Linked DNA regions of Saccharomyces cerevisiae S288C. Changing the gene in region 1 together with any one later gene gives a genetic interaction. Each region holds a gene or a part of one and is shown in the gene's direction. Other genes may lie near its edges.

Evidence for each region.
Region 2: mutations in MSC1 (region 1) and ERV29 together harm fitness more than expected from each alone (negative genetic interaction), as found in Saccharomyces cerevisiae (3 studies listed by BioGRID, with this or other methods).
Region 3: mutations in MSC1 (region 1) and BRE2 together harm fitness more than expected from each alone (negative genetic interaction), as found in Saccharomyces cerevisiae (3 studies listed by BioGRID).
Region 4: mutations in MSC1 (region 1) and PBS2 together harm fitness more than expected from each alone (negative genetic interaction), as found in Saccharomyces cerevisiae (3 studies listed by BioGRID).

What each region holds. Positions count from the first base shown.
Region 1 is NC_001145.3:14,635-18,229, reverse strand, and holds MSC1 (double-strand break repair enhancer MSC1), read left to right. Parts: upstream 1-1,553; coding exon 1,554-3,095; downstream 3,096-3,595. Other genes in the region: RSC9 (Rsc9p), read right to left, coding at 1-1,166; COX14 (Cox14p), read left to right, coding at 3,477-3,595.
Region 2 is NC_001139.9:1,059,773-1,064,118, reverse strand, and holds ERV29 (protein ERV29), read left to right. Parts: upstream 1-2,528; coding exon 2,529-3,461; downstream 3,462-4,346. Other genes in the region: BIO2 (biotin synthase), read left to right, coding at 1-306; ZUO1 (zuotin), read left to right, coding at 966-2,267; UPA1 (putative methyltransferase), read left to right, coding at 4,079-4,346. UniProt on the Saccharomyces cerevisiae protein: Constituent of COPII-coated endoplasmic reticulum-derived transport vesicles. Required for efficient transport of a subset of secretory proteins to the Golgi. The C-terminal di-lysine motif is required for exit from the endoplasmic reticulum.
Region 3 is NC_001144.5:173,068-177,820, forward strand, and holds BRE2 (Bre2p), read left to right. Parts: upstream 1-2,159; coding exon 2,160-3,677; downstream 3,678-4,753. Other genes in the region: PPR1 (Ppr1p), read right to left, coding at 1-1,915; PML1 (Pml1p), read right to left, coding at 3,735-4,349; MEU1 (S-methyl-5-thioadenosine phosphorylase), read left to right, coding at 4,541-4,753. UniProt on the Saccharomyces cerevisiae protein: Component of the Set1C/COMPASS complex that specifically mono-, di- and trimethylates histone H3 to form H3K4me1/2/3, which subsequently plays a role in telomere length maintenance and transcription elongation regulation.
Region 4 is NC_001142.9:177,196-182,218, reverse strand, and holds PBS2 (mitogen-activated protein kinase kinase PBS2), read left to right. Parts: upstream 1-2,115; coding exon 2,116-4,122; downstream 4,123-5,023. Other genes in the region: MCO6 (Mco6p), read left to right, coding at 510-668; TRK1 (Trk1p), read left to right, coding at 4,913-5,023. UniProt on the Saccharomyces cerevisiae protein: Kinase involved in a signal transduction pathway that is activated by changes in the osmolarity of the extracellular environment. Activates the MAP kinase HOG1 by concomitant phosphorylation at 'Thr-174' and 'Tyr-176'.

The sequences.
Region 1 (3,595 bases):
AGTTTGAAAAGTTGTTGAAACAGATCCTCAGATAAATTGGGAGGCTCCTTTGGAGCGGGAGGCTTCAACCTTTTAATCAACCTAATTTTGTGCTTTTGCAAAAGATGGTAATCTGGTGTGGCGATATTATATGATAATAAATTAGGCAGCGTGGCTTCCAGTATCAAAGAGCACTCCTTACTCTTGAATAACTCAGTGATTCTTTGAGAACCGGGCAAAATGTATTGATAGAGGAAATCCAACGAAGCAATAATCAGCTCACTATCGCATTCTAACAGTAAAAAGGAAACGATCAACGAAAGAGTCTTATGGTCCAAATTGTCCGCTGCACTTTCCTCGTTAGCTTTGGACCTAACCAGTAATCTTGAAAGAGACCTCAATATAGAAATAACCATGTATCTGTCCTTAGTGTAGTTCAAGATGGACACCAGCGTTTGGAAATAATGATCATCCTTCATTGCAGGAGCAATATAGGACGAAATGGCCTCCATCAAGTCCAGAGTATAATGGGTCAACTCGTTAAAAAAAGTTGCATTTCCTTCGTACAATTGCCACTTGTTATCGCCTGTAGCGACGCACTGAAACTTCTTCAAAATGAAAAGAATGAAAGATTTGATTTCTCGATCCTTGACTAGTATCTGCACCGAATCAGTATCTTGAGCCAGATTCCTTAGGATCAGCAAGGCATTTAGACCCATTTGTAGAGAATCCATCGCCTTTGAATCACATATAGACGATTTGTTAAGACCTTCCACGATGCGCTCCAAAGGCAATATGAAAGTCTTGAAAAGTGGCAACAGGTCCGGCAATGTCCGTAAGCTGATCATATATGGCGCCTTGTTACTATACGTAAGATATTTTTTTAAAGACCACTTAATCTCCTCCGGTATCCCACTCAGTAACGCCATCTCCATCCTCGTCAAATCGTCTACACCTCTGGCCGTTTCCTTGGGTAGCGACTGGAACACATTAAAATTGGCCAGCGAATAGTGGATGGACTTAGTATTGGCTGCAGGTCCCGTCAGAACTCCATTAGACTGTAATCGAGACACTTTAATAGGGTTAGCCACCATTGTCTCGAACATGTTCACAGGCTCGGAGCTTGTGGCGGGTGCCTCGCTTACTGGAGTACCATTTAGCGGTGTGTTTGAAGCTAACGAGTTCATCTTCAATCTTTATTTCCACTTCTTTACAAGCTTTCTGCCTTTCTCTATGACGTCTTTCCCAAAACACTACCTCTTGACACGACTTGTTGTTTTCGTTTTTCTCTAAGAATATCACTATTTTCACTTTTTTCACCTTTTCCACCATTACGTCGGTAAGCAACAGCATTACGCCGGCCTCACCTTAGAGGGGAAGAATAAGGGATCTTTGGAACTGAAGGAAAATAAGGGAGAGGGAGGAAACAAGGAGGCGGTGAAAGGGGATCGACAGGGTATTTAAAGCCACTCATGGAGTCGTATTCCTAGCATGATTAGATTACCGGAGTTTAGAAGAGGATCTGCAATAGAAGAGGAGACAACTACAAAAGAACTGTTAATTAAGAGAAGAAGATGAAGCAATTCAAGTTGGTTAATGCGGTTTCCGCATCATTTGTGCTTATTGGCTTAGTGTTGGCCAATTCAGATTCAGTGTTCGACAAGTGGACGCAGGAAGACCTGGCCGATTATTTACGTGATAATAAGAAGAGCTTGGAAAAGTACGCTACAGACTCCATTGAGGACTTGAAAACGGAGGCATCGCAGGTATGGGACAAACACGCGCAGCCCAAACCATGGTGGCAGGTGTGGTCTAGTGACAGCAGTAGCGTGAGCAACAGTAACCCCGGATGGTTTGGTTATACTGGTTCTTCGGATCACCCAGTTTCTGACTGGCTCTTTGACACCTGGTCCACAGACAGTCTACGTAACTTCTTGAAGAAAAACGGCGTGGATGTTGACGACGCTAAGGCTTCCAAGGACTCGCTGGTGAAGACTGCTAAGGAGAACTTCAACAAGATTTCCAAATCTTTGAAGTCGTCGGGATACTATCCTTCTAGCTCTTACTTTGATAGCTGGTCAACCAAAGATTTGCAAAACTGGTTGAATGACAATGGTATCGACTACGACAAGGCAGTTCAAAGCAAGGACGAGCTAGTTCAGAAAGTCAAGGAAAACATCTACCGAACTTCAGAAAAGGCAGAACAGCAGCGTCTGGGTTTGCTAGAAAGCTTGGATTTGGCTCACCAACAAATATTAGACACATCGGGACAAATAAAAGACACTGTATTTGACAAGTGGTCTAGTGATCAGTTAACCAATTGGTTGGAGAGCCACAAGGTCAATATTGACAAGAACATGGCCAAGAAACACGACTATTTGGTTAGAATGGCCAAAGAAAATTCTGCCAATTTGAAAGATGATATCTACTGGTACCTGGACTATATGAAAAGAGAGTCTTCTCCATTTTTGACCAAGACCCCAGAATACGTTGGTTCCGTTTGGGACTCTTCTAAAAATTTCCTCACAAATTTGTACTCCAAGTTCAGAGGTAAGACTGACAATGTGATCAATGATACTTTTTTGGTTGGCCTAGACTCTTGGCCAAAGGACAAATTGAAAATGTTTTTAGATGCTCGTGGTATTAAGTACTCAATGCTGTCTACTGAACATCAATTGAGAGAATTAGTCAAAAAATCCAGAAACGAAAAACTCAAGATCCTGCCAAAAGACTACCAAAAATACTTTGACAACAGTAACTGGTCTTTGGATGACATAAAGGGTTGGTTTGCTGACAAAAAGGACGACTTCCAAGATTCTCAGACTTACTCCACAATTATGCAGGATTTTGACAAGGTTTCCAAAAACACAAATGATGCTAAGGACCAAATCGCTAAGACCTGGTCAAATACCTTTCAGAGCTGGTCTCAAGAAGACCTATTGCAGTACCTAAAATCATTCGGTGTTCCGGTTAAACAGACTTCTACGAAGGACGACTTAATCAACTTGGCCAAGCAGAATACGCAATGGTTGTTCGGCACTGTTAAGGAGCCTGCTTACAAGAGGTACCTACATAACGTTAAAAACTGGTCGAAAAGCATATTAGGGTTCAACTAATGATTGGGGTGTCAACGTAATGTACTTTTCTCCCCAATTTTTCTTTTCATCCGTATATTTTACCGTAAAATGGACAAGCTAATAGCAAAACGAAAAAACACGTTGTCACTTCTATATAACTTTGCTTAAGTAAGTATTTTGTCTTTATAATGTTACATACTGTGAAATACACTCTTTAGAAAACACTATTTCCTCACTCTCGGAAGCAGATTTCGAAGTTCTTCCTTACTTCTGAGCTTTGCTTCTCCTTCCTTGCGATTAATGTTACCCGGTATACGAAATCGGAGAGGATCAGAATAAATGCATTGAAAGGAGCATAAATCTATACAGCGGTTTGGCAATGGTGAGAGGAAGAGAACAAAAAATAGAACGCAGATAGTCATGTCCAAATACGCTTGGTATACCAGAGTTACAGATACATTACATCGTCTAACGGTACTGACGTTGGTTGGTGGTACGTTATACATGTCGGGTGGCTTAGCTTACACTTTATACATGAA
Region 2 (4,346 bases), on another chromosome or scaffold:
ATCAAAGGGACTCCAATGGCTGAGGAACTTGCCGATCCAAAGAGTAAAAAGTTGCAATTCGACGAAATTTTGAGAACCATTGCCACAGCGAGAATAGTTATGCCAAAGGCCATTATAAGACTTGCCGCTGGTCGTTATACAATGAAAGAAACAGAGCAATTTGTCTGTTTCATGGCAGGTTGTAACAGTATCTTCACCGGTAAGAAAATGCTGACGACAATGTGTAACGGTTGGGACGAAGACAAGGCAATGTTGGCTAAATGGGGATTGCAACCTATGGAGGCATTTAAGTACGACAGATCTTGAAGATAGGGATATGTGGATAATTCTACGATTCTAACTGTACATTTCTCCCTTATTTATTAAGAAAACCTATATATATATATATTTACCTATTTATTCTGCCATCGTTAGCTGGCGTTTTATCTTTTATGCATCCAATATCTAATATTACTTCCGATCACGCATTTAGTTCTGATTACAGCAGAAATCGTAGCGCGATGAGACATTTCATCAAATGGCCTTTTTTTTTTGGGCAATTTTTTTATATCTTGAAATGATAGTTGCCTTGTACTTTCAACCGTTCATTTCATTAAGAACTTGACTAAATATGAACATTTCTTAAAAAAAAGGTTGACATATAAAAATAATCGAATATAAACGATGGAATTTTTATAAAATTAAACACATATATATATATATATTAACTATAAATATGTCAAAGAAACCATACAATCATAGATTTATAACTATCTTTTGGATGACATTAATGAACATAACGCTCCTAATACAAATGTCCAAAAAATATTACCCGCAAATACGAATCTTTTTTTTTTCTCGATGAAATTTTGCAAAGAGTTCGAAATTTTTATTTCAAGAGCTGGTAGAGAAAATTTCATAAGGTTTTCCTACCGATGCTTTTATAAAATCTTCGTTTTGTCTCACATATACCAACAAGAGTAACGATGTTTTCTTTACCTACCCTAACCTCAGACATCACTGTTGAAGTCAACAGTTCCGCTACCAAAACCCCATTCGTCCGTCGTCCGGTCGAACCGGTTGGTAAGTTCTTTTTGCAACATGCTCAAAGAACTTTGAGAAACCACACCTGGTCTGAATTTGAAAGAATTGAAGCTGAAAAGAACGTCAAAACCGTTGATGAATCCAATGTCGACCCAGATGAGTTGTTATTCGACACTGAATTGGCCGATGAAGATTTACTGACTCATGATGCTAGAGACTGGAAAACTGCCGATTTGTATGCTGCTATGGGTTTGTCTAAGTTGCGTTTCAGAGCTACTGAAAGTCAAATCATCAAGGCTCACAGAAAACAAGTTGTCAAGTACCATCCAGACAAGCAATCTGCTGCTGGTGGTAGTTTGGACCAAGATGGCTTTTTCAAGATTATTCAAAAGGCCTTTGAAACTTTGACTGATTCCAACAAGAGAGCTCAGTACGACTCATGTGATTTTGTTGCCGATGTTCCTCCTCCAAAGAAGGGTACCGATTATGACTTTTATGAAGCTTGGGGCCCCGTTTTCGAAGCTGAAGCTCGTTTTTCTAAGAAGACTCCTATTCCTTCTCTAGGTAACAAAGATTCTTCCAAGAAGGAAGTTGAACAATTCTATGCTTTCTGGCACAGATTTGACTCCTGGAGAACCTTTGAGTTCTTGGACGAAGATGTCCCAGATGACTCTTCTAACAGAGACCACAAGCGTTACATTGAAAGAAAGAACAAGGCCGCAAGAGACAAGAAGAAGACTGCTGATAACGCTAGATTGGTCAAACTTGTTGAAAGAGCTGTCAGTGAAGATCCCCGTATCAAAATGTTCAAAGAAGAAGAGAAGAAGGAAAAGGAAAGAAGAAAATGGGAAAGAGAAGCCGGTGCCAGAGCTGAAGCTGAAGCTAAGGCCAAGGCCGAAGCTGAAGCGAAGGCTAAAGCTGAATCTGAAGCCAAGGCTAACGCCTCCGCAAAAGCTGACAAAAAGAAGGCTAAGGAAGCTGCTAAGGCCGCCAAGAAAAAGAACAAGAGAGCCATCCGTAACTCTGCTAAGGAAGCTGACTACTTTGGTGATGCTGACAAGGCCACCACGATTGACGAACAAGTTGGTTTGATCGTTGACAGTTTGAATGACGAAGAGTTAGTGTCCACCGCCGATAAGATCAAGGCCAATGCTGCTGGTGCCAAGGAAGTTTTGAAGGAATCTGCAAAGACTATTGTCGATTCTGGCAAACTACCATCCAGCTTGTTGTCCTACTTCGTGTGAATACCGTAAGAAATGGAATAGAATATATACGAATGTATACGAATATTATAGAGAACGTTCTCTTTTATTTCTATAATGAATAGGTTCGGGTAACGGTTCCCTTTTTAGGTATTTCTAGAAGATGAGAGAAGAGGGAATAATGAGAAAGGCGAAAAATAAAGGACACCTTTAACGAAAGATCAAAGGTGTCCTTATTTACTTACAATAGCTGCAATTAGTACGACTCAAAAAAAGTGAAAACAAAACTGAAAGGATAGATCAATGTCTTACAGAGGACCTATTGGAAATTTTGGCGGTATGCCAATGTCATCATCGCAAGGACCATACTCTGGCGGTGCACAATTCAGATCAAACCAGAACCAATCCACTTCTGGCATCTTAAAGCAATGGAAGCATTCTTTTGAAAAGTTTGCCTCCAGAATTGAGGGGCTCACTGACAATGCAGTTGTTTATAAATTGAAGCCTTACATTCCAAGTTTGTCAAGATTTTTCATTGTGGCCACCTTTTATGAAGATTCGTTTAGGATCTTATCACAATGGTCAGATCAAATTTTTTATCTGAATAAGTGGAAGCATTACCCATACTTCTTTGTCGTTGTGTTTCTAGTGGTTGTTACCGTTTCCATGTTGATTGGCGCCAGTTTGTTAGTTTTAAGAAAGCAAACCAATTATGCCACCGGTGTGTTATGTGCTTGCGTTATTTCTCAAGCATTAGTTTATGGGTTGTTTACGGGTTCATCATTTGTCCTAAGAAACTTTAGTGTTATTGGTGGGTTGTTAATTGCATTCAGCGATTCAATTGTTCAAAACAAGACAACATTCGGTATGCTTCCTGAATTAAACAGCAAAAACGACAAAGCGAAGGGTTACCTGTTGTTTGCTGGTAGAATTTTAATTGTTTTAATGTTTATCGCTTTCACTTTCAGTAAATCATGGTTTACTGTTGTTTTGACCATTATCGGCACAATATGTTTCGCCATTGGTTACAAGACAAAATTCGCATCCATTATGTTGGGTTTGATACTAACTTTTTACAATATCACGCTAAACAACTACTGGTTTTATAACAATACTAAGAGAGATTTCTTGAAGTATGAGTTTTACCAGAACTTAAGCATCATTGGTGGGCTTCTATTAGTTACTAATACTGGCGCTGGTGAATTATCCGTTGATGAAAAGAAGAAGATTTACTAGATTGTAAAGGAAATCTTTTCTTTATGTCCCTTCTGTTCACTCATCTTCTAACAATCTATTTCGTTTTGCCTTCTTGTGATCGCTTTCAATACCCTGCTAGCTCACATATATACTTTTCTTACTGTCATATCTACATAAAAGATTTCTTTTTGTATAGGCGCACTTAACGAAATTTGATTGGTCTCACGTTGGCTTGTATATTCTACCTTCAATCAATGTGGTTATATCGCACAGAATTCCCTTGTATTATGATAGAACTTATTTATTGTAATTAGTTTTGATTTGACCATTTTCGTTGGTCCGTAATTGTTTTACACTGTCACTGCTTAAATCATTGAAGAGATGCTCTTGAGATAGCATCCGCTCTCCTATCTTTCCAAAGAAACGCTTTAAAGTCGCTTTAAGCAATCTCTAAAGTTTAAAAATTCCTAATAAATAGCTCTTTAGCAACTATTGTAAACCGCAATAATGGGCACACCCAAACATATTATTTGAAATTTTTTCCACCTCATCGCTTGAAAACACCATGTTGAAATTGGGATATTAAGTAGAGGAGGTAATTGATACCAATGAGGTGAAACACATCTACCAAGGGAAGTGTAGCATAATAGGGGAAGATGGCAGTAAAACATAAATCCGAGAGCCTTAAGCACGAAGAGGGGGCTGCCAAAAAGGCAAAGACAGGCCTATTGAAGCTAAAAAAAATCATGGATATAGAATCTAATGTGGTCAAATATTCCATATGCATACCGACAACTGTTATCGACAATTGTAATAATTTGGAGCAAGTTACATTTACTGCATATCAAATAGCTCGGACAGCTGTATTGTTCAATGTTCAAGAAATCATAGTTCTAGACCAGTCAAAAGATAAAAAGCATGAAA
Region 3 (4,753 bases), on another chromosome or scaffold:
GTCCATAAAGAATGCTCTTCGAGTAATGATAGTTCAGATCAAACCAGATGCTGTTAAATTTGCAATTCATCATCTCAAAGTTTTTGGGAACGTCCACTTGGAACCAACGCTCAAGCTCATTGTAGGTTTCAATCCGCCAGCTCTCGAGATCCATAAACCTCCTCGGCAATTCTGCACCGGGCGCGTAGAGTATTCTCACTATACTAGCTTGGATTCTTCTGATTTTATACATGGCCAATGCGATAACTTTTGAAGACGGATTTGGGCTTGGTAAGTCTGAGTAGTCGTCAATTTCTCGGTTAGTTAATGTGATGAAGGAATCGTCCAAAAGGCTAGGATACCTGGTGGTGATGCTTTCTTCAGGTATACCAAAAGGTCGACCAAAATACGAGCAAATTTGCCGATCTAAGGAGTAAACGCACCAAAATAGACGCCTGCGTATTTCTCTGGTAAAGGCGTCATAATTTTTATTAATTTTTTCCGAATGTAGTCCTAGGTCAACCGTTAGTCTTAGTACAGAACCCATAGTATACCAAACACCGGGGACATTAGGTCTCATTATTGAATAGATTACCATGAGCAAAGTGCCTGCCAATGCCTCCAACCTGTCTGAAGATGAAAATAAAGATGCAATATATTTAGTAGCGCGTCTCTTATATGTCGCGACAGTAGTAATATCTGACTTAAGTACCTGCGTAGCATGGCCAATAGCAAATATAATGTTTAAAAAAAAATAAGGTATGTGAAATTTTGTCGGTAGTTCAACTATCGGACGCATGTTGACTTTTTGAGATGTCTCCCAAGTGTCATACCATGGAACATCCACGGAAGAGCATACGTCAATCTTCTCAGTAACGTTCTCCCTTTTTGGTTCAGTATGCGCACTAAAAGCACTGGTAATTGGAATTTCGAACGCGCTATTTATGCCTGTCTGATCAGATGCCAATGCAATATTGGGATTCCAGGGACCATAAATAGGTTCAAAGTATTTTTTCAGGAAAAGTTCTCTATGCAGCAAAGGTAACTGGGAATTAGTATCTACAAAAAACCTGGATATCATAACTTCAGCGGCATGTCGAGGTGGTAGTTCCAATGGATCAAAGTGTGGATTGTTTTCAGCCTCTGCATATCCATTGTATTTCTGTTCCCTTTGTTTAATATCTTCATCCAGAACGTCATCTCCGGAATCTTGACGAAAATTAGTTGCCGTGAAGACTAATTTCGCAAAGGAAATACCCGATGAATCTCCTAAAAAAGAGTTAAAACTACTTTCTCTCATCGTGCCCAGCGCACTGATCTCCTTATTACATCGGCGTAGCTCTTCCGCTCTTGCATCTGAAGTCATAGGGCTGCCTGTCTCGGGTAATAAAGCGCTACCATCTTGTTTTTTTGAGTTTACCAGAAATTCCTTGCGTTGTACATTTATAGTCTGTGGGCTTGCCATAGACTTGCTCGTTATAGCTGAGGATGCCATAGAATTCCCTTTCTGAACCAAATAATCCGCCAATAAGCCATTATGTGGCAATATTCCCTCTTCTCCCAAAGATGAAACTGAACTGTACTTTTTCAAATCAAAAGGTTCATCATCACTTGTAGCAGGTATATTTCCTCGTATTTTCGTGGGATCTACTCCATATTCTTTCAACACACGCATCATGACAGCCAATCTATCTTCCAGAAAAAAGACGTAAGATCTTGGAACGTCCTTTCCGGTGGCTGGGTCCAAAGAAACACATGGTACCTCTAATTTTGCACACCTCTTACAGCTAGGAAACTCCTGATCACATTTAATTTTTTTCAATCGACATCGTTTACATGCAGTTCTAGATTTGGAAATTCCTATATTAGGAGAATCTCCTCTTTTTGATAAATCTGTTCTATTACTTTTTTTGGAGTTAAATTTTTTCTGCTTCATGATTTAATCATCATCTTCGTATGTTTTATGTACTCTAAAGGGTTACTCCTGTGCGAATAAAGCAAACCACTTTACGTTACTAAAATTTTTCACATTTGGTATTGTGAGTATTTTATGAAGCTCATCGCGGTAAAAGAAAAAAATAGAGAATCTGTGATTATAGTTTAAAAAGGATGTAGACAAAGGATATCAGCGATAAAGGTGGCCATAATTGGACGAAGACAAATAATTCACTTCCTTAATAATGAAGTTGGGTATTATACCTTACCAGGAAGGTACTGATATTGTTTACAAGAATGCTCTCCAGGGTCAGCAAGAAGGGAAGAGACCTAATTTACCACAGATGGAAGCAACGCACCAAATCAAGTCATCGGTTCAGGGTACAAGTTATGAGTTTGTCCGCACAGAAGATATTCCATTGAATCGAAGACATTTTGTGTACAGACCGTGTTCCGCAAATCCCTTTTTCACTATTTTGGGGTATGGCTGTACAGAATACCCATTTGACCACTCTGGAATGAGCGTCATGGACAGATCTGAAGGGTTGTCAATTAGTCGAGATGGAAATGATCTGGTAAGTGTCCCGGATCAATACGGTTGGAGAACTGCAAGAAGCGATGTGTGTATTAAAGAAGGAATGACGTATTGGGAAGTGGAGGTAATTCGTGGAGGAAACAAGAAATTCGCAGACGGTGTTAATAATAAGGAAAATGCTGATGATTCAGTAGACGAAGTACAAAGTGGCATATACGAAAAAATGCACAAACAAGTGAATGACACCCCGCATCTACGATTTGGAGTTTGCAGAAGAGAGGCCAGTTTAGAGGCTCCCGTAGGGTTTGATGTGTACGGGTATGGTATTAGAGACATTTCGTTAGAATCTATCCACGAAGGAAAATTGAATTGCGTCCTAGAAAATGGTTCGCCATTGAAAGAGGGTGATAAAATCGGATTTCTACTGAGTCTTCCTAGCATTCATACACAAATCAAACAAGCTAAGGAGTTTACCAAAAGAAGAATTTTTGCACTGAACTCCCATATGGATACGATGAATGAACCATGGAGAGAAGATGCTGAGAATGGGCCTTCAAGGAAAAAATTAAAACAAGAGACAACGAACAAAGAATTTCAAAGGGCGCTATTAGAAGATATTGAATATAACGACGTCGTCCGCGATCAAATCGCCATCAGGTATAAGAACCAGTTGTTCTTTGAGGCAACGGACTATGTAAAGACAACGAAACCGGAATATTATTCTTCTGATAAGAGGGAAAGGCAAGACTATTACCAGTTAGAGGATTCATATCTTGCTATCTTTCAAAATGGTAAGTACCTAGGCAAAGCATTTGAAAATTTAAAGCCGTTGTTACCACCGTTCAGTGAGTTACAATACAATGAAAAGTTCTATCTTGGATATTGGCAACATGGTGAAGCTCGTGATGAGTCCAATGATAAAAACACAACCAGTGCCAAAAAGAAAAAGCAGCAACAAAAGAAAAAGAAGGGATTGATACTCAGAAACAAATACGTAAATAATAACAAACTGGGTTACTATCCAACAATCAGCTGTTTTAACGGTGGAACAGCGAGGATAATTAGTGAAGAAGATAAATTGGAGTACCTCGATCAAATCCGATCAGCTTACTGTGTTGACGGGAATTCAAAAGTTAACACACTGGATACATTGTACAAAGAACAGATAGCTGAAGACATAGTATGGGATATAATCGATGAGTTGGAGCAAATTGCCCTACAGCAATAAAGCAGCATTCAAAGAAGAATAATTAAAACACACTGAAAGTGTGTTTCTTATATATGGTTATACATTCATGAAGATGAGTTCGTAATCGTTATCTTCTTCAAATTCTGAAAGTGTAAGGACGTCACCACTTCGTAGCTCTATATATCTCGCTCCAGGAATTACAACGTTGTTCAAACATGTCCCATTGGACGAATCCAAATCCATTACATAACATTTCAAAATGCCACGAACGTTCCTGAACTGGATGACGCAGTGCTGCTTTGAGGATGTTTCTTCGGGTATACCAATGTCTGCGACAACGATCTCCGTTCTATCGTCGAGATCTGTATCCAGACTGTGGCCCAGTTCACGACCGACTAAATAACAGCTCCTGCCGTTCAAATCGTATCTTTTCCACGGTCCTTTATCCTTGTCATTCTTTCTGTATATCACTAGTTCATACATAGTCCTATCTCGCGCCTCCAGTCCTAGCATATCCATGTAGTTATCTGGAGAAATAGCGTCCTGCGGCTCCACATGTTTTAAAGCTATACCTTCTTTGTTATTCGACTCCAGCTCTAACAGACCGGAAGGGCTGAAGTCTGGCATAATATCGATGTACTGCGATTTGAATTTCTTGTCATCATGGCCATAATTTCTGGTGTTATAAGGTCTTTTGCGTCTGTGAAACATGTCTATACGCAAATGGAGTCGGAAATGAAGTACACCATGCTTGCTGTGGCTTTTACGTTATACCAAGGCTTCTATTGTAGGACGCCTTTATTGTCAATTATGTGAAAAGAAAGCAAAAAAAAGAAAAAGAAAAATGAAAAAAGATGAACGTGTGAATGAAAAAAAACTATTTCGAGATGAGATGAGATTAAATGAACAGGATTAAGAATACATTTTCTGTTGCTAAGAGATTAAAACTAAGCAAAGTTATGACGAACTCAGAATTACCGAGCATATTCGAAGGAACTGTTGATTTAGGGATTATTGGTGGTACAGGTTTATATAACCTTGACTGTCTGGAGCCCATCGCTTTGCTTCCACCCATGGTAACACCATGGGGTACCACATCGTCTCCTGTCACAATC
Region 4 (5,023 bases), on another chromosome or scaffold:
ATGCGTCCACTTTTGGAACAGGGTTGACAAGTCTTAAATCTTATTTCAGAAGTGATTTTTGAAGTAAAATTGGAAACTGAAATTGGAAACAAGGCACTCAACTCAATTATGCTTGCATGACGAAAGGTTCTGTTACAGTTTTACGTTGAAACCTAGGTACTGCAGAAATCCATAATCGGAGATAAATAACTAAGCTTTGTGCTGCAAAATTTTCCAGATTAGGAAACCTGATCCTCAGTGCCCTTTTAAGTACTGCTGTATCTGATGCCGTGAACGAGACACTATTGGCTGCGTGGGCACGTACCAAGTATACTCATCAAAATTTGTCTTAGGTTTTCCGATGCGGAAAATGGCAGCGCACAATTTAAATAGAAAAGGAGTTAAATGTACAGCAGCAAAATCAGTCACTCACGGAGAAAAGCTACGGTAGCGTAACGAAGAGCACATTGCTACTAGCAGCCAGCTAGATAATTGCAGCAGTGTACAGTTTACGCGACAATAAAGAAAGCATGATTTTCTTTTTCAACCAGATCCGTTCAATATTTACAGCTTTGCATACGCCAACTCAACAGATCCAATTATCAAGAAGGGCCTTTTTCCAATTCTTAGGCTATTTGGGTAGTTGTGTTGTGATTTCATTAGCAGCTCAATCGAAATACGTGCAGTAAGAAATGAAATAATGACCTGCAACAGTCCTTCTTGAGATGGAATGAAGTAATTGCTCTTTGAACGAGAGCACAAAAGCAAGCAGAAGTCGCGTATGTCAAGCCCATGATATAGCTGCTTAGATATATAGGTAGATATAAATAAGCACAATGGCTACAGTAATTGTGCGGTGCAGGGAGGCAATGTTTAGTGCATCTCCTCTACATCATTTCTATTTTTAATCTCGTCCACGAGAACGATTTAAGGAAATGGGGCTTCAAAAATAAAAAAATCAAATGAAAGTAATAATCTTTCAGCTTAGACTTATTTTTAGTTGAAACACTTGAATAAGAGTGCAGACACTCAATCGTGGTGTAGCTACAAGAACATATGGTGGCGTGTTTCTGCTGCAACTGTCAAGATCGTCTGTGTCTTAATGAGGTGATATATAGAACTGCTGAATACGGAGCCGTTTGTCTTTTACTGCGGGATTAACTTCAACAGCTACGGCCGAAGCCAATTCTGGCAAAAGGCAATGACTAAGTCTTGTTTCTCATGTAGATTACTATTTTGAGCGTGTTGCTTTTCTGTTCCCCTTGAGCATAGCAGCAGGCACGGAAGCATACAGAATATTCACTAACATGAGAACAACTCATTACTAGACTACTACCAGTTACTACACATCGATACAACTCCCCAGAAATATCACTGTTGAGAGTTCATGTCAAGACGTAGTATAGTATTGCAACAGGAAAAAAAAATCTTATTGCGTAGCACTCTGTATCTATTTTATATATCTGTTTCTATATTTGATTAATCTCTTGTTATCTTGGTGATGATCGCACAAGTATGTACTCCTGTATCTGCAAGAATATCTGTTTTAAACTTTTCAAAGCAAGGAAACCCCGTCTTATATAGGTTATCCGCAAAGGTCACATTTTCTTGCAAATAGAAGAAAAAGCACCCACAAGCACACTAACACAGTGCCAGAGCAAAACTATATCCTTTGCATCCGATCTCAAACGCTGTTCTTATCGCATCTGTCTTCGTCCTTTCATCTGCATTTACCTTTTCTTTTTCATCCTCTATTTGCCTTTTCATTAGTGGCAATTTTTCCAGTTTTTTCCCTCTGCGTCCCGTTGCACCTGAAAGGATCTTTCTAACGTGTGTTGTCTACTAGTGAGCGATTTCGTGAGCCATACACGTTCTATAGAAAATTGAATAAACTTTACTTCAAAGGGATCTGGACACAGAGATAACTGCTTACCTGCTTGCCGGAAGAAAAGAATTACTAAAAAAGAAGACAAGGGTAGCTGCTATTGTGGGTACACGTTTCACAGAACTACTTTTTCCTTGTCCTTCTCCAGACATCAACGTCATACAACTAAAACTGATAAAGTACCCGTTTTTCCGTACATTTCTATAGATACATTATTATATTAAGCAGATCGAGACGTTAATTTCTCAAAGATGGAAGACAAGTTTGCTAACCTCAGTCTCCATGAGAAAACTGGTAAGTCATCTATCCAATTAAACGAGCAAACAGGCTCAGATAATGGCTCTGCTGTCAAGAGAACATCTTCGACGTCCTCGCACTACAATAACATCAACGCTGACCTTCATGCTCGTGTAAAAGCTTTTCAAGAACAACGTGCATTGAAAAGGTCTGCCAGCGTGGGCAGTAATCAAAGCGAGCAAGACAAAGGCAGTTCACAATCACCTAAACATATTCAGCAGATTGTTAATAAGCCATTGCCGCCTCTTCCCGTAGCAGGAAGTTCTAAGGTTTCACAAAGAATGAGTAGCCAAGTCGTGCAAGCGTCCTCCAAGAGCACTCTTAAGAACGTTCTGGACAATCAAGAAACACAAAACATTACCGACGTAAATATTAACATCGATACAACCAAAATTACCGCCACAACAATTGGTGTAAATACTGGCCTACCTGCTACTGACATTACGCCGTCAGTTTCTAATACTGCATCAGCAACACATAAGGCGCAATTGCTGAATCCTAACAGAAGGGCACCAAGAAGGCCGCTTTCTACCCAGCACCCTACAAGACCAAATGTTGCCCCGCATAAGGCCCCTGCTATAATCAACACACCAAAACAAAGTTTAAGTGCCCGTCGAGGGCTCAAATTACCACCAGGAGGAATGTCATTAAAAATGCCCACTAAAACAGCTCAACAGCCGCAGCAGTTTGCCCCAAGCCCTTCAAACAAAAAACATATAGAAACCTTATCAAACAGCAAAGTTGTTGAAGGGAAAAGATCGAATCCGGGTTCTTTGATAAATGGTGTGCAAAGCACATCCACCTCATCAAGTACCGAAGGCCCACATGACACTGTAGGCACTACACCCAGAACTGGAAACAGCAACAACTCTTCAAATTCTGGTAGTAGTGGTGGTGGTGGTCTTTTCGCAAATTTCTCGAAATACGTGGATATCAAATCCGGCTCTTTGAATTTTGCAGGCAAACTATCGCTATCCTCTAAAGGAATAGATTTCAGCAATGGTTCTAGTTCGAGAATTACATTGGACGAACTAGAATTTTTGGATGAACTGGGTCATGGTAACTATGGTAACGTCTCAAAGGTACTGCATAAGCCCACAAATGTTATTATGGCGACGAAGGAAGTCCGTTTGGAGCTAGATGAGGCTAAATTTAGACAAATTTTAATGGAACTAGAAGTTTTGCATAAATGCAATTCTCCCTATATTGTGGATTTTTATGGTGCATTCTTTATTGAGGGCGCCGTCTACATGTGTATGGAATACATGGATGGTGGTTCCTTGGATAAAATATACGACGAATCATCTGAAATCGGCGGCATTGATGAACCTCAGCTAGCGTTTATTGCCAATGCTGTCATTCATGGACTAAAAGAACTCAAAGAGCAGCATAATATCATACACAGAGATGTCAAACCAACAAATATTTTATGTTCAGCCAACCAAGGCACCGTAAAGCTGTGCGATTTCGGTGTTTCTGGTAATTTGGTGGCATCTTTAGCGAAGACTAATATTGGTTGTCAGTCATACATGGCACCTGAACGAATCAAATCGTTGAATCCAGATAGAGCCACCTATACCGTACAGTCAGACATCTGGTCTTTAGGTTTAAGCATTCTGGAAATGGCACTAGGTAGATATCCGTATCCACCAGAAACATACGACAACATTTTCTCTCAATTGAGCGCTATTGTTGATGGGCCGCCACCGAGATTACCTTCAGATAAATTCAGTTCTGACGCACAAGATTTTGTTTCTTTATGTCTACAAAAGATTCCGGAAAGAAGACCTACATACGCAGCTTTAACAGAGCATCCTTGGTTAGTAAAATACAGAAACCAGGATGTCCACATGAGTGAGTATATCACTGAACGATTAGAAAGGCGCAACAAAATCTTACGGGAACGTGGTGAGAATGGTTTATCTAAAAATGTACCGGCATTACATATGGGTGGTTTATAGCGTTAATATCCAAATAAAAGCAAACAGGCACGTGAATATAACAACAAAAAAAAAGCAGACGAAAAGCTACTGTGGAAATGATGCGGCGAATACAAAAAAACCTTACATATACATATGTTTATTGTAATAAACTTGCATTATACTCGTTATAGACATATATATATATATATATTCATATATATATATCGTCTGACTTCCTTTTGTCGAACCTAAAAAAGGGCACGAATTATGACAGAGTATTGAGGGGATGTTATTTCAAGCACCGGCAAGTGAAGCGATGTGGACGTCAATATATTGTGTTATTCGATTATTGCTACGGCCATCGACTCCTCGAAATTATTTACGTTCGGGGCTGACAACGCAAGAAAGAAAAAATGCTCTGGAATTGTCTGATGGTTTTTCCGCTCTTTACGGCTCAAGGCTAGGAAAGAAAAAAAAGTCCAAAATCATCGAGAAAATAAAAGGTGTTTTGAAAGTTCAAATCCACGTTATTGAGAGTAGATGTGGAGTCTGGACCAGGAACTATACCTGTATCTTACCCTAACTTCTAAATTTTGCTACTTTCACGGAAAACAGTAAATAATTACCTATCAAGATAAAGAGCTCTTACATTATTAGAAACTTTTTGTTACTGTTGCTTTCCTTTCGCCCATTGTTTTTACCTTACCATTAGCATCACTGATTCCACACTTGTATTGCCTTAAAAAGAAGGAGGGTATTCTATTGGCTCTCAAGGAAGTCATTCCTATCCATTTTACTTAAAGTTATTACCTTTTTTTGATAACTAACAATGCATTTTAGAAGAACGATGAGTAGAGTGCCCACATTGGCATCTCTTGAAATACGATATAAAAAATCTTTCGGCCATAAATTTCGTGATTTTATTGCTCTATGTGGTCAC